3 linked regions of the Coturnix japonica genome follow. The protein of the gene in region 1 binds, or shares a complex with, the protein of each later gene. Links are inferred from orthologs where the notes say so. Each region holds a gene or a part of one and is shown in the gene's direction. Other genes may lie near its edges. The genes, in order: ARMC7, CRIPT and RBM48.

The links.
Region 2: ARMC7 (region 1) and CRIPT share a complex: the UniProt entries of both Homo sapiens proteins name them as parts of the minor spliceosome. The link is inferred for Coturnix japonica from reciprocal best matches to the Homo sapiens genes ARMC7 and CRIPT.
Region 3: ARMC7 (region 1) and RBM48 share a complex: the UniProt entries of both Homo sapiens proteins name them as parts of the minor spliceosome. The link is inferred for Coturnix japonica from reciprocal best matches to the Homo sapiens genes ARMC7 and RBM48.

The regions. Positions count from the first base shown.
Region 1 is NC_029533.1:9,331,188-9,334,545, forward strand, and holds ARMC7 (armadillo repeat-containing protein 7), read left to right. Parts: upstream 1-867; 5' UTR 868-990; coding exon 991-1,057; intron 1,058-1,135; coding exon 1,136-1,279; intron 1,280-1,740; coding exon 1,741-2,078; 3' UTR 2,079-2,710; downstream 2,711-3,358. UniProt on the Homo sapiens protein: As a component of the minor spliceosome, involved in the splicing of U12-type introns in pre-mRNAs.
Region 2 is NC_029518.1:23,889,906-23,893,654, forward strand, and holds the start of CRIPT (cysteine-rich PDZ-binding protein), read left to right. Parts: upstream 1-1,489; 5' UTR 1,490-1,522; coding exon 1,523-1,592; intron 1,593-1,686; coding exon 1,687-1,752; intron 1,753-2,417; coding exon 2,418-2,472; intron 2,473-3,209; coding exon 3,210-3,313; intron 3,314-3,749. Other genes in the region: PIGF (phosphatidylinositol-glycan biosynthesis class F protein), read right to left, coding at 1,063-1,290. UniProt on the Homo sapiens protein: As a component of the minor spliceosome, involved in the splicing of U12-type introns in pre-mRNAs. Involved in the cytoskeletal anchoring of DLG4 in excitatory synapses.
Region 3 is NC_029517.1:20,668,825-20,672,573, forward strand, and holds the start of RBM48 (RNA-binding protein 48), read left to right. Parts: upstream 1-1,406; 5' UTR 1,407-1,608; coding exon 1,609-1,734; coding exon of another isoform or gene 1,735-1,824; exon of another isoform or gene 1,825-1,846; intron 1,847-1,904; exon of another isoform or gene 1,905-1,933; coding exon of another isoform or gene 1,934-2,047; intron 2,048-2,690; coding exon 2,691-2,881; intron 2,882-3,007; coding exon 3,008-3,153; intron 3,154-3,749. Other genes in the region: PEX1 (peroxisome biogenesis factor 1), read right to left, coding at 1-641, 731-845, 1,086-1,169, 1,263-1,406, 1,696-1,824. UniProt on the Homo sapiens protein: As a component of the minor spliceosome, involved in the splicing of U12-type introns in pre-mRNAs.

The DNA.
Region 1 (3,358 bases):
TGCCAAGAGATGGTTGTGTACGACCAGGAAAACTTCCTGCAGCATTGCAGCACACGGTGATGATCAGATGCACTCAGTCATGTAAGCAGCACGAGCACAGCCTGCAGCCCTTACAGAACATCTCTGCAGACCACAGACCTGGGAATGTTACCAAACTCTATGGGACAGCTCAAATTAAATGCACAATGTTCCTCACATCCGTTAACCAGCCTGGATTAGACTCAAAACAAGATAGAATCTAGAAGCAGCAGAGCACGCAGCTCGCAGTGAGGTGAGCAGCAGCGCTGCAGTGTGACCCGCAGGGTGCAGCTCTCGGGGATGCACCACCCGACCAGCACGGGCTGTTCCTAAACGCTGCTCGCAGTGAAATCACTGCAGGGGACAAAGTTCCCATTGGTTTTGTGCTTGCAAAATCCTACTGACTGCCCACACACACACACGGTACCTGGGAACTCAGCGCTGCATTTTCCTCCTCCAATGCAACGCGCTCCTCCCCTTATTGCTCAGTCCCACTGTCCTCAAACACTTCTGTCGGTTTGCTTCTCCTTGTTTGCTTTCTCTTCTCTGCCCTTCTCACACCAGCCCCGCTCTGGTCCATATTAGTAATGACAGATGTCGCTTCAAGTGCACTAACACAGTTACAGGCACGAGAAGCACACGCGGGGGTGTAAATTCTGAGGCCTGGGGGGCAAGCAACCAGGTGGCAGGGAAAGGTGAAGAACTGTGCAGAACAAAGGGGGGAAACGATAAAAACACGTGTTTGCCAGATACAGAGTGCAGCAGTGATATGTGCCTTCACTTATTGACGCACATGAGCTGCCCACAGCCCGCCCCGCACGCGGAGCGCAGCCAGCAGCCGCACCGCCCACAACATGGCGGCCGGGGAGTAACGCCCACAACATGGCGGCCGCCGGTGTCCGGAGCGCCCCGTTGTGCCCCGTGCCGGCGGCGCGGTCCAGCTGATCGGCTGGTTCTGGTTCTCAGCTCGGGATGGAGCTGGGCAGGTTGGAGTACCTGCAGGCCCTCGTCACGGAGTTCCAGGTGACAGACAGCCCAGGTAACCCCGCGTACAAAAGCGAAATCTCCATCTACCACAGCCCCCCTTGCCCCGTTTGACGCGTTGCTTCCCCGGCAGAGGCCAGGCGGCAGGTGCTGGCCAACCTGGCCAACTTCGCCTACGACCCCAAGAACTACGAGTATCTGCGGCAGCTCCAGGTGCTGGACCTGTTCCTCGACATGCTGACGGAGGACGACGAGACCCTGGTGGAATTCGCTATGGGTGAGCACAGCGCTGGGTGCGCCCCGATGCTTTCCCTGTTTCTCTAAAACACAGGTAACAAACCGGGGAAAATGAAAATAAACGCTGCAGCCACACGGCGCCATAAATGCCATCACTGCACTGAGATGGACAGGAGAAAATAAAAGGCAACGTAGGGCAATTAAAAACCCATCATTTAATTCCTGGTACCTTGAAGACCGATTGCCCCCTTACCACACAGGGAAACTGTCTGTGCATGTTGCCTTAAGAAAAGTAGTAAAGATGGAGTGTCCGTCTGCGGACAACTCAGTGCCGGCACCACACAGGTCAGGGCCCAACTGCTGGTACCAACAGACGGAACGTGCTCCAGCTGCTGCCATTCATTCCCAGATGAGGTGCCCTTCAGAGCATGGAGTGTGTCCGGATGAGGCTGCAGAAAGAATCTGTCTTGCATGTGTCAGATGCTTTTTTCGCTATTTCAGGTGGTCTTTGCAACCTGTGCTTGGATAAAACTAACAAAGACTATATCCTGGAGGCCAATGGGGTAGAGCCCATAATAAACTGCCTCTCCAGCTCCAACGAAGAGACAGTCATGTCAGCAGTCACAGCCCTGATGTATCTGACAACGCCGCAGTCGTGCCAGCAGACCACAGCTCTCCCGGTGGTGGAATGCATGCTTCGCTTCTCCCTGTCGGCCAGCAGAAGGCTGAGCAATCTGGCCACGATCTTCCTGGAGGATTATTGCACGCCCCTGCAGGTGGAAGAGGCCAGGAACCTGAGCAAACACACAGCGGTGGGGATTCCTCTCCCGAAGGATTGAAGCTGTCAGAGCAGCTTGGAGCTGCTGCGAGGAGCACCCCCTGTTTGCTCAGGTCTGCACCTAATGCTGAGTAGGTCAAGAGTGTGATGAGAACAGTAAAGCAGGAAATCAGACTAGCATTGGATTTTAGTTAGTATTGAAAAGGACCATACAGCACTATAACAGGCCAAGAACGTGGCTGAAAATGGAAGCAAATATTTTAAATAAAAAAGGTGATGGCTGCTGTGCAGCTCTGAACCAGCTTACAGGTATAACCCTTATAGCAGTTACTTTCTCTGCTCGGGTTATTGTTCAGCTTGTATCACTTCCAGTTCCTGGCTGATTTTGCCACAGCTTTCCAGTGTCAACTCAGATGACTTTGAAATGACCCAAACTTCATCCCTCCTGCAGAAGAAATGCGTTTCCCTGCCCTGGTAATTTGCAATCCTATTACATACCTTTGGTACTATACATACTGTCTTATCATCCTGCCCTAGAACAGGTGATAGCTATCCCATAGGTCAGGAAGCAGAAAGCTGTATTTCCCTCATTACCACTGGTGAGAAAGGTGCAGGTAGGAAAAGGGTTTATGGCATTCAGGTTCACAAGAAAAGCCTTTTCTTAATAAAACATTAACGGAGCTGTTGTGTAAACAGTTCTGTGTAAGCTCGTAAATGTTCCTGTACAGCTCTTGCAGCGCAGCCTCTGCTGCTCCCACTAATGCACGTGGGCTGGGAGTTGGAGCCACTTTGCTCTCCTTTTATGATCAGCCAATCGTGCAAAAGGTAACCTGGAGCCAGGGCGGCAAACTGCCCAAAGGCATAGAACGGGGTGGCCCTTTACCACGGTGCTTCTGAAAGGCTGCGAGTTCCAGAGTTCTGCTTTCTCCCCCTCCACTCAGCTCAAAACACGCCATAGTGAGCTTACACCACAGCTGGCTGTTTGTCTTTATAGTTATTCTTCATAACATCACTGCGGCTCCGGCCGCACCAGGACGAGGCACCGTGAGGTGAACCCCGCAACCCCCGCATGAAGCCGAGCGGCCCCTGGCGGCACCACGGCCCCGAGTGGAACCTCCGGCCACAAGCGGGTGGAACTGCCGGCCTGGCCTTAGTGCGGGGCCAGGCGGCTCCGCTGTGCGCTGCGGGAACCTTCATCGGACGGCTGGGCGCGCTCCAACTGCACTCAGTGTTTAGGAGCTGTAGCCTGCTCCGCTGCTCGCTTCTTTCATAAAGCAGATGTTGGACACTTCACACGGAGGCAGCACGTGGTGGTGCCCCATCAGCTGCACTCACGCTCCT
Region 2 (3,749 bases), on another chromosome or scaffold:
GATCAGGTCACAAATGGAAATCCATATCTCACTTGGCCACATCTTTGATATTTATACATATGCTAGGCTGGGATGAAACCTCACCTAGAACACATAAGCCTACTTCATTTTCAAATCACAGATGGTTAAAAGACTTGTTTTCCATGATGTTTTCATGTATTTTATATCCCCTCTGTCAGCAATTAACAGTTTTACATACAAAGATACTACTTTCTTGGATGACTGCTTAACTCTTTTAAGAATCACTGTAAGAGCACTGTCTGACACAGCTGGTGGGGTTGCACGACTAAGCTGACTTCAAATTGTATTCTACCACTCCTGACCCAGCTATGTTTTACTCCTCTAACCTGTTAAATTAGGATCCACACCCTCAATGGTCCTATTACAAACTGTAACTACAAAGAAATCTCCCAGATTTAATTTCTGCAGATTTAGTCATTCAATGAAATGCAATTGTTCTGACACTTTTCAACTTCACTTTTTATAGTTTACCAACTTTCAGTGAGTCACAATGGCTTCAGTTGGTGGGGGCCTCAAAGCCCACCCATTTCCAACCCCCTGCCATGAGCAGGGCTGGCCACCACCAGCTCAGGCTGCCCAGACCCCCATCCAACCTGGCCTTAACACCTCTGGGGATGGGGCACCACAGCTTCTCTGGGCAGCTGTGCCACTGCCTCATCAAGTTTTAGTAGTAATGAGCTGTTCCCAATTTTACATCTCAGTTCCTACACAAAGAACAAAGCAATACTCTGCAATAACGAAGGTCAGGCCTAGACTGCAAAGTGAATTTCGTGCCCACTCTGGTGTGCCCCAATTCCTACCAGCATGCAGTCAGTGATAGACTTGTGACTACAAATCACAACCCCATGGGCAAGAAGTGTCAGGGATGCTCAGCCCAGAGGGCTGCTGGCAGGTGCAGACAGAGTTAAGCTCTGCAACTCATGGAAAACAAGAATTCACCACCAGAAGTTGTAACTTCTTTCTCATCACATCATTTCAGTGACAGGCTTAGCATCCTCTCCACATCACTCGATAGGAATCTAAGAAAGAAACAAATCTTACCTTGTTAGACAGCGAGCTTCTCTTAGAAGACGGACTTGGCTTTAGGATTAAACACAAGGTTACGTTAAGGACGCTAACACAGACAGAACAAACACACAGCCACGTGAGGTGAGTGCCCAAAACCGAGAACCCATCCAGGAACAAGGCCGGTACGAGTGCGGTCAGGACGATGGAGACGAAGCAGAGCAGGTTGGCAGCCAGCAGCCTCCTCAGCTCTGCCTCCTTCATGGCGCCGTGCCGCCGGCCACCTGCAACACAGCGAGCGGCACTCGGTCAGCGGGACTCAGCCGCACCAGCGGGGCAATGAGGGCGTTCTGGGGGAGAAAAGGGCTTTTTAGTGGTAGATTAACGACCCTCACGCTCGCACAACGTCCTAGGTCAGGCTCGCCCCGCGGGGCGGCCTAACAACGTGCGGGGCCCACCTGGCCCGTACCCGGGACGCCGGCCGCCCGGCAACGGGATGGCGTCAGCTCCGGGGCGGGTCCGGAAGCGGCGGTTGTTGTGCTGGGCGGCCATGGTGTGCGAGAAGTGTGAGTAGGGTGGGATTGGGGGGATCCCGGCACTAAGCGGGGTCTGAGGGCAGCGCAATTCTAATCGTTTATTTCGTGGTGTTTCTTTCCGTAGGTGAGAGGAAGCTGGGCACCGTGATCACTCCTGATACGTGGAAGGATGGGGCGAGAAACACCACAGGTAGTGTCGGTCGCTGGGTGTTCCCTGCGGGTCGTCCGGAGGGTTCGGGGGGCAGCCCCAAAGCCTGCTGGAGTTACCGGGTTGGCCCTTCACTGCTGTAGTTTCCATTGAGTGCAGTGAAGGGTTGTTTACCTCGAGCTTTTTGGCGTTGAATTTGTCCATCTCATTGCAGCCTTCCGTATTTAAAATGGGATCATTACCGGGGGGGGGGGGGGGGGGGAGAATCAACTTTTTACTTGAATAGGTAATGATAGAATGAGAGGTAATGGTTTTAAGCTCAAAGAGGGAAGGTTTAGATGGATGTTAGGGGAAGCTCTTCACACAGAGTGGTGAGGTGCTGGGGAGACTGCCCAGAGAGGCTGTGGAGGTGGTGAAGACCAGGTTGGATGGAGCCCCAGGAAACTTGGTTTAGTACCAGATCTGGAGGTTGGTGGCCCTGCCTGTGGCAGGGTGCTGGAACTTAACCATCCCTGGGGGGTCCCTTCCAACCCAACACTTTCTATGTTTACATTATGATCTTTCCCCTCATGTGGAAGGATGATATGCAGGGCCTGCCCATGCTATGTGCTTCATGCTTCACTTTGCTCTGATCACACATGCCCACATGTGGCAGTTGGAAGCTGGACTGTGAAATGCATTGCCTTGTGGTTGTATTTTTTTTATAGAAAGCGGTGGCCGTAAGCTGAATGAAAACAAGGCGTTGACCTCAAAGAAAGCAAGGTTAGTATTTAATCCTCATTTCAGCTTAAAAAATAATTCAATTTTCTGTAACTGAGACCTTGCATTCTCACAAAGCAGGGTAATTCCTCAAAACTTGTCCAAAATACAACTTAATTTATTCATTTCTTTTAACATGTTAATCCTTGGTGGCAGTGTGTATTTATGTATTTCATTGGGGCTTTCTGTGGAATTACAGAGCATGGGCAGCTGTATTGCTGTGGGCATCCCTAAAATTGGTAGGAATTGCTGTTTGTGTTAAGAGAGGGGCTGAAAAGGCTGTTTGTCTCTGTTTGTTGCAGGAGAGTTGGACTAGATGACATTTAAAGGTCCCTTCCAACTCACATGATTCTGTGATCTTCCATGCTAACATTACCTGTTCAAACGCTTGAGCATCTCCTTAATGTCTAAAGGATATTCTGTTATGCCAGGGGCAAGCCATTGTTGAAATGTATTTTGACTTTGAAATAGGCTTGTATCTTAAGAACAATGTGTGGTTTTAGTTCATCATTTATTAATTTAATTTCTATAACACAAGAAACCTCTCTTAATGGAGAAAATGGGAGGTTTTTTGTAGAAATTCTGTAGTCTATTAGAGTTGACCTCTTTATGTCCCTGTTTTTGATTGCAGTTTTTGCTGGAGTTTTTGTCTATTTCCTCTCGCATAGCATTTTTAGTATGAGATGAAGGAATTACTTTATTTCACTGTGCATAAACAAAGTACTTCTCCATTTTTCCAGGTTTGATCCTTATGGAAAGAACAAATTTGCAATATGTCGAATTTGTAAGAGTTCTGTCCATCAGCCAGGGTCTCACTATTGCCAAGGATGTGCCTATAAAAAAGGTGAGTTTCACTGAGAACTTTATTACCCCGCTTTGATTTGGAATTAGAGACCAAGTAGAAGTCTTTGATTTTGTTCTGTGAGGAAAAGAGAAGGCTGTGATGAGATTCAGTTACTGTCTTCAGCTAATAATAGGAAGGTATAGAAGGTGCACTGAGCCCCCATCACAGTGCACAGTGATGGAGAAGAGTGCAGAATTCTTTAATTCCATGTGAATAAAATAATTTTCACCATGAGGGTGGTCAAACATTGTAATAACAGGGACTCAGAACCCTTATGAAATCTCTACTGGAGAATATAAAATTTTATCAGTCTTGTGAATTTCAGGGGGCAAGCAAAATGGCTCAAACTTGTAATCCATGGGGGGAAAATAGTGCAACATGAACTCGGTTACCTTCTTACTATTGAAGAATTCACTCAGCACGCAGACATGGGCTG
Region 3 (3,749 bases), on another chromosome or scaffold:
ATTTTTTTTGTCTTGCGTACTAGTCAAATGTTTTTGCTTTTCAGATGGCAGATTTTGCTTTGCTTCTTGATGACGCTGTCTGGGGGAAAGCAGCCCGTTAATTTTCCCATAAGTTACTACAGCATTTGGATCCAAATCAGTATATTCTAAATTCTGTGGAAAAACATGAATGGCACCGTGTTTCAGAAATGCATGAACAGCTGATGCGTTCTGTACGCTGGGAGGCTGGGACTGGCATACTCTAAAAATGGAATCCATGTGAATTAAGTTCAGCAGCTTGTCTTTGAAGGCGCTCATTTCATCCTTATCACACAGAGTCTTTTGTTTCTGTTCAGCTGTACGAGAGAAAATGCTCCCTATGAAATTCCACATATTTGGGAGAACACTTGAGCCAAACGTCACATTTGCATCAGCCTTACTCTGTTCAGGGACTCCTGGGTTTAAGTGAGGTTGACTGGCAAAAGGCTCCTTTACAGTTACGTCTTGCTCCATGCTATTCTTCACAAAGCTCTTGAGTAAGATGTCACCTTCTGTAGAAGGCATGTCTACGACGTTTTCCTCAAGCTCACGCGCTTTGGGGCAGATCAGAAGCTCCGTGCAAGGTTCTAATCTCCCATAGGGGGCTGCTGGCATAAGTGTACCTGAGTATGGATAAATCAGATGAATGAATGCATCCACTCTTGCAAAACAGCTTACTCAAGGCACCAGCAAAGCATTCACTGCTGCTTACCAATTCTGATGTAAACGTGAGTGTGGTGTTCAACCCAAACAGGAAAGATGGCTTTGGGGAATACGATTCGGATCTGGTCCAGAAGATGCTTTTCAAGAGAGGAAGCGTGCAGTTCCTGGGAAAGTGTGGTATCATTGTAAGCTACACACTTGTACAACCTTTAAAATGTGTTTGAACATAGAAGATTCACATCTTTTTCTAATACACCATTTGAAACATAAAATACAATGAAAACCCACAAGACTTAGCATTTGCTTAGGAGCAGAAAAGAACGGGGGATTGCGACAAAAGCTTGTATCAACATTCTCTGTCATTTGCATGAAAATGATGTGAACAGTGGGACAGGTTTTCTTACCAGTATTTCCCAATCATCTGCTGAGAGCGGTTCCACTTCTACTTGCTGACAGGAGGAGACGTGTGAACAGGGCTCCACGAACACCTGATAGAAGCAACATTATTTCTGAATAATTTAACTCCTTAAACACATAAAACCTCTACTCAGAAACTCAAAAAAGGGACCTGCATTTCAAACCTGTTCTCCATCTGCAATGCCAAGCTTCTCTGCTAAATGCCTGTTCATCTCTGCGATATTTTCACCCCGCTGACCTCGATGCCTCATTTCCATCCAGCTCAGGTAGATGGGCTCATCACGGCAGGATACTTTGACAGCTTGGCCCTGTGATTATCAGGCAGATGAAACGAATTACTATCAAATCATACTCAGAAATACTCAGACCCATCTGGGTCCAGGGGCGAGGGGTCCCGGCCCGTTCGGAGGATGCACAGTCACCACAGCGACAGTGCGGGGGGCGGCTGGTTGCCCTGCGCTGTCGCTGTGGTGACTGTGCGTCCTCTCGAGGAGGGCTCTGAGCACCGCCATGATGACGGGATACGATGGGGGGAGGAAGGAGAACCTCTCTCCCACAATCCCCTCCGAACGGGCCGCCCCCATCTCGTCCCCGTACCTGCTGCAGGCGGAGGTGCGAGGCCAGCACGGCGGGCAGGTGAAGGAAGCAGTCCCGGGTCCCGCTCAGCACCACCGTCACCGCGGCGACTCCAGCGGCCCCTCCGCCGGGGTTACCGCTGCCCCACATGCCGCCAGCCGGGTGGGCCGGGCTGTAGTTGCTCGTTCCGCCCGGCTTCTCGGCAGCGCCCACTTCCTTCCCGGAAGAGCCGACCGGAGCCGCGGTGGCGGCCGGGAAGATGGCGGCGGGCGGTGCTGGCGGGCCGGGGGAGGCGTGTAGGCACCACCAGCAGCTGGGAGCATGCGGGTCCAGGGCCAAGTACCGCGAGGGGCGGCGACCCAGGGCCGTCAAGGTGCGGGGTGAGGGCGGGTGGGCTGCTGGAGACTTGTTTAGTCCGCAGGTGTCGGTGCTCTGACATCTGGAGAAGCATCAGCTCCAGCTGATGTTCTGTGATGTGTTCATCCCTGCTTGAGTTCATCCCTGCCCGCGGTGGCTCCACACAGCGGGCAGCACGAACGCTTTGAGTTGTTGTTTTCGCAGTGAGGTAAACGTGGGCATTTTAGAGCATTGAACAGCATCTCCCCTATGAGGAGAGACTTAGGGAAGTGGGTCTGTTTAGCCTTGAGAAAAGAAGGCTGAGAGGGGACTTGATCCAGGTTTATAAATACCTGAGGTGGGGAAGCCATAGTGGTGAGGCTGGTCTCTTTTCAGTAGTGCGTGGGGACAGGACTAGGGGTAATGGGATGAAACTACAGCATAGGAAGTTCTGCATTAATGTGTGGAAGAACTTCTTTACAGTGAGGGTGACGGAGCACTGGAACAGGCTGCCCAGGGAGGTGGTGGAGTCTCCTTCTCTGGAGATATTGAAGACCCGCCTGGACGCCTACCTGTGTGACATGGTGTAGGGAGCCTGCTTTGGCAGGGGGTTGGACTGATGATCTCTAGAGGTCCCTTCCAACCCCTACAATTCTGTGATTGTCCTGTGCTTCTTTCAGGTGTACACCATCAACTTGGAATCGCGTTATTTACTAATCCAGGGAGTTCCTGCGCTGGGCGTCATGAAGGAGTTAGTGGAGCAGTTTGCCTTGTACGGAGCCATAGAAGAGTACCATGCACTTGATGAATATCCCGCAGAGCAGTTCACTGAAGTTTATCTGATAAAATTCCAGAATCTGCAATGTGCCAGGTATTATACACAGCACTATCTGCCTTTTGTTGTTTTAATCCTTCACGGCCCCTTTATGTATGATCTACATCATACAGAGTTGAAGTAAAACCCTCAGCTCTGCTAATGCCATTTAGTTTCCTTCAGGGTGGCCAAGAAGAAGATGGATGAGCGCAGTTTCTTTGGGAGTTTGCTGCACGTGTGCTACGCTCCAGAATTTGAAACAGTCCAAGAAACCAGGGAGAAGCTGCAGGACAGAAGGAAGTATATTGCAAAAGCAACAAATCAAAGAGGTTTGTAGTTAAATCTCATGTCCAGTTTTAATTCCAGTGGTTGGTACGTCTTGGTAAAGCCAAAAGCATCCATTGATGAAAATATACTGTGTTTAGCTGTTTTACATTAGGACATTTCTCAGTTATTCCTAGAGATGGACCTTTCAGAAAGCAACGTTTTAGTTAACATGCACTTTAAAGCTTTTAAACCTCATTGTTTCCTTCATTTCTTTTCAAAACGTTACCTGAAATTTTAAGTACTGCCAGGAAACTGAGGATCAGTTTGTTCCCCTTGTTACAGTTCTTTCAGGCATACCCAAAAAGAGAGATTAGTAAGAGAGCCCCCTCCCTGCCCCTTATTTCCTGCCTGTCATTTGGGTCAGTAAGGAACACGAGGAATGGATTGGGCTGACAGGCAGCTTTGCTGCTGAGTTCCCAGGCAGCGCTGAAGGCTGGACAAGCTGTAAAATAAGTACAATGCCAGGCACAGGCTTCTCCTTTCCTATGCTTATGTACTTGGATATCATTATCCACTGCAGGTGCTGCTTAAGCAGAATCACAGGAAGGTGACTGGGAATGAAGTATTGCTGGTATTATTTCTGTCACTGTATTGAACA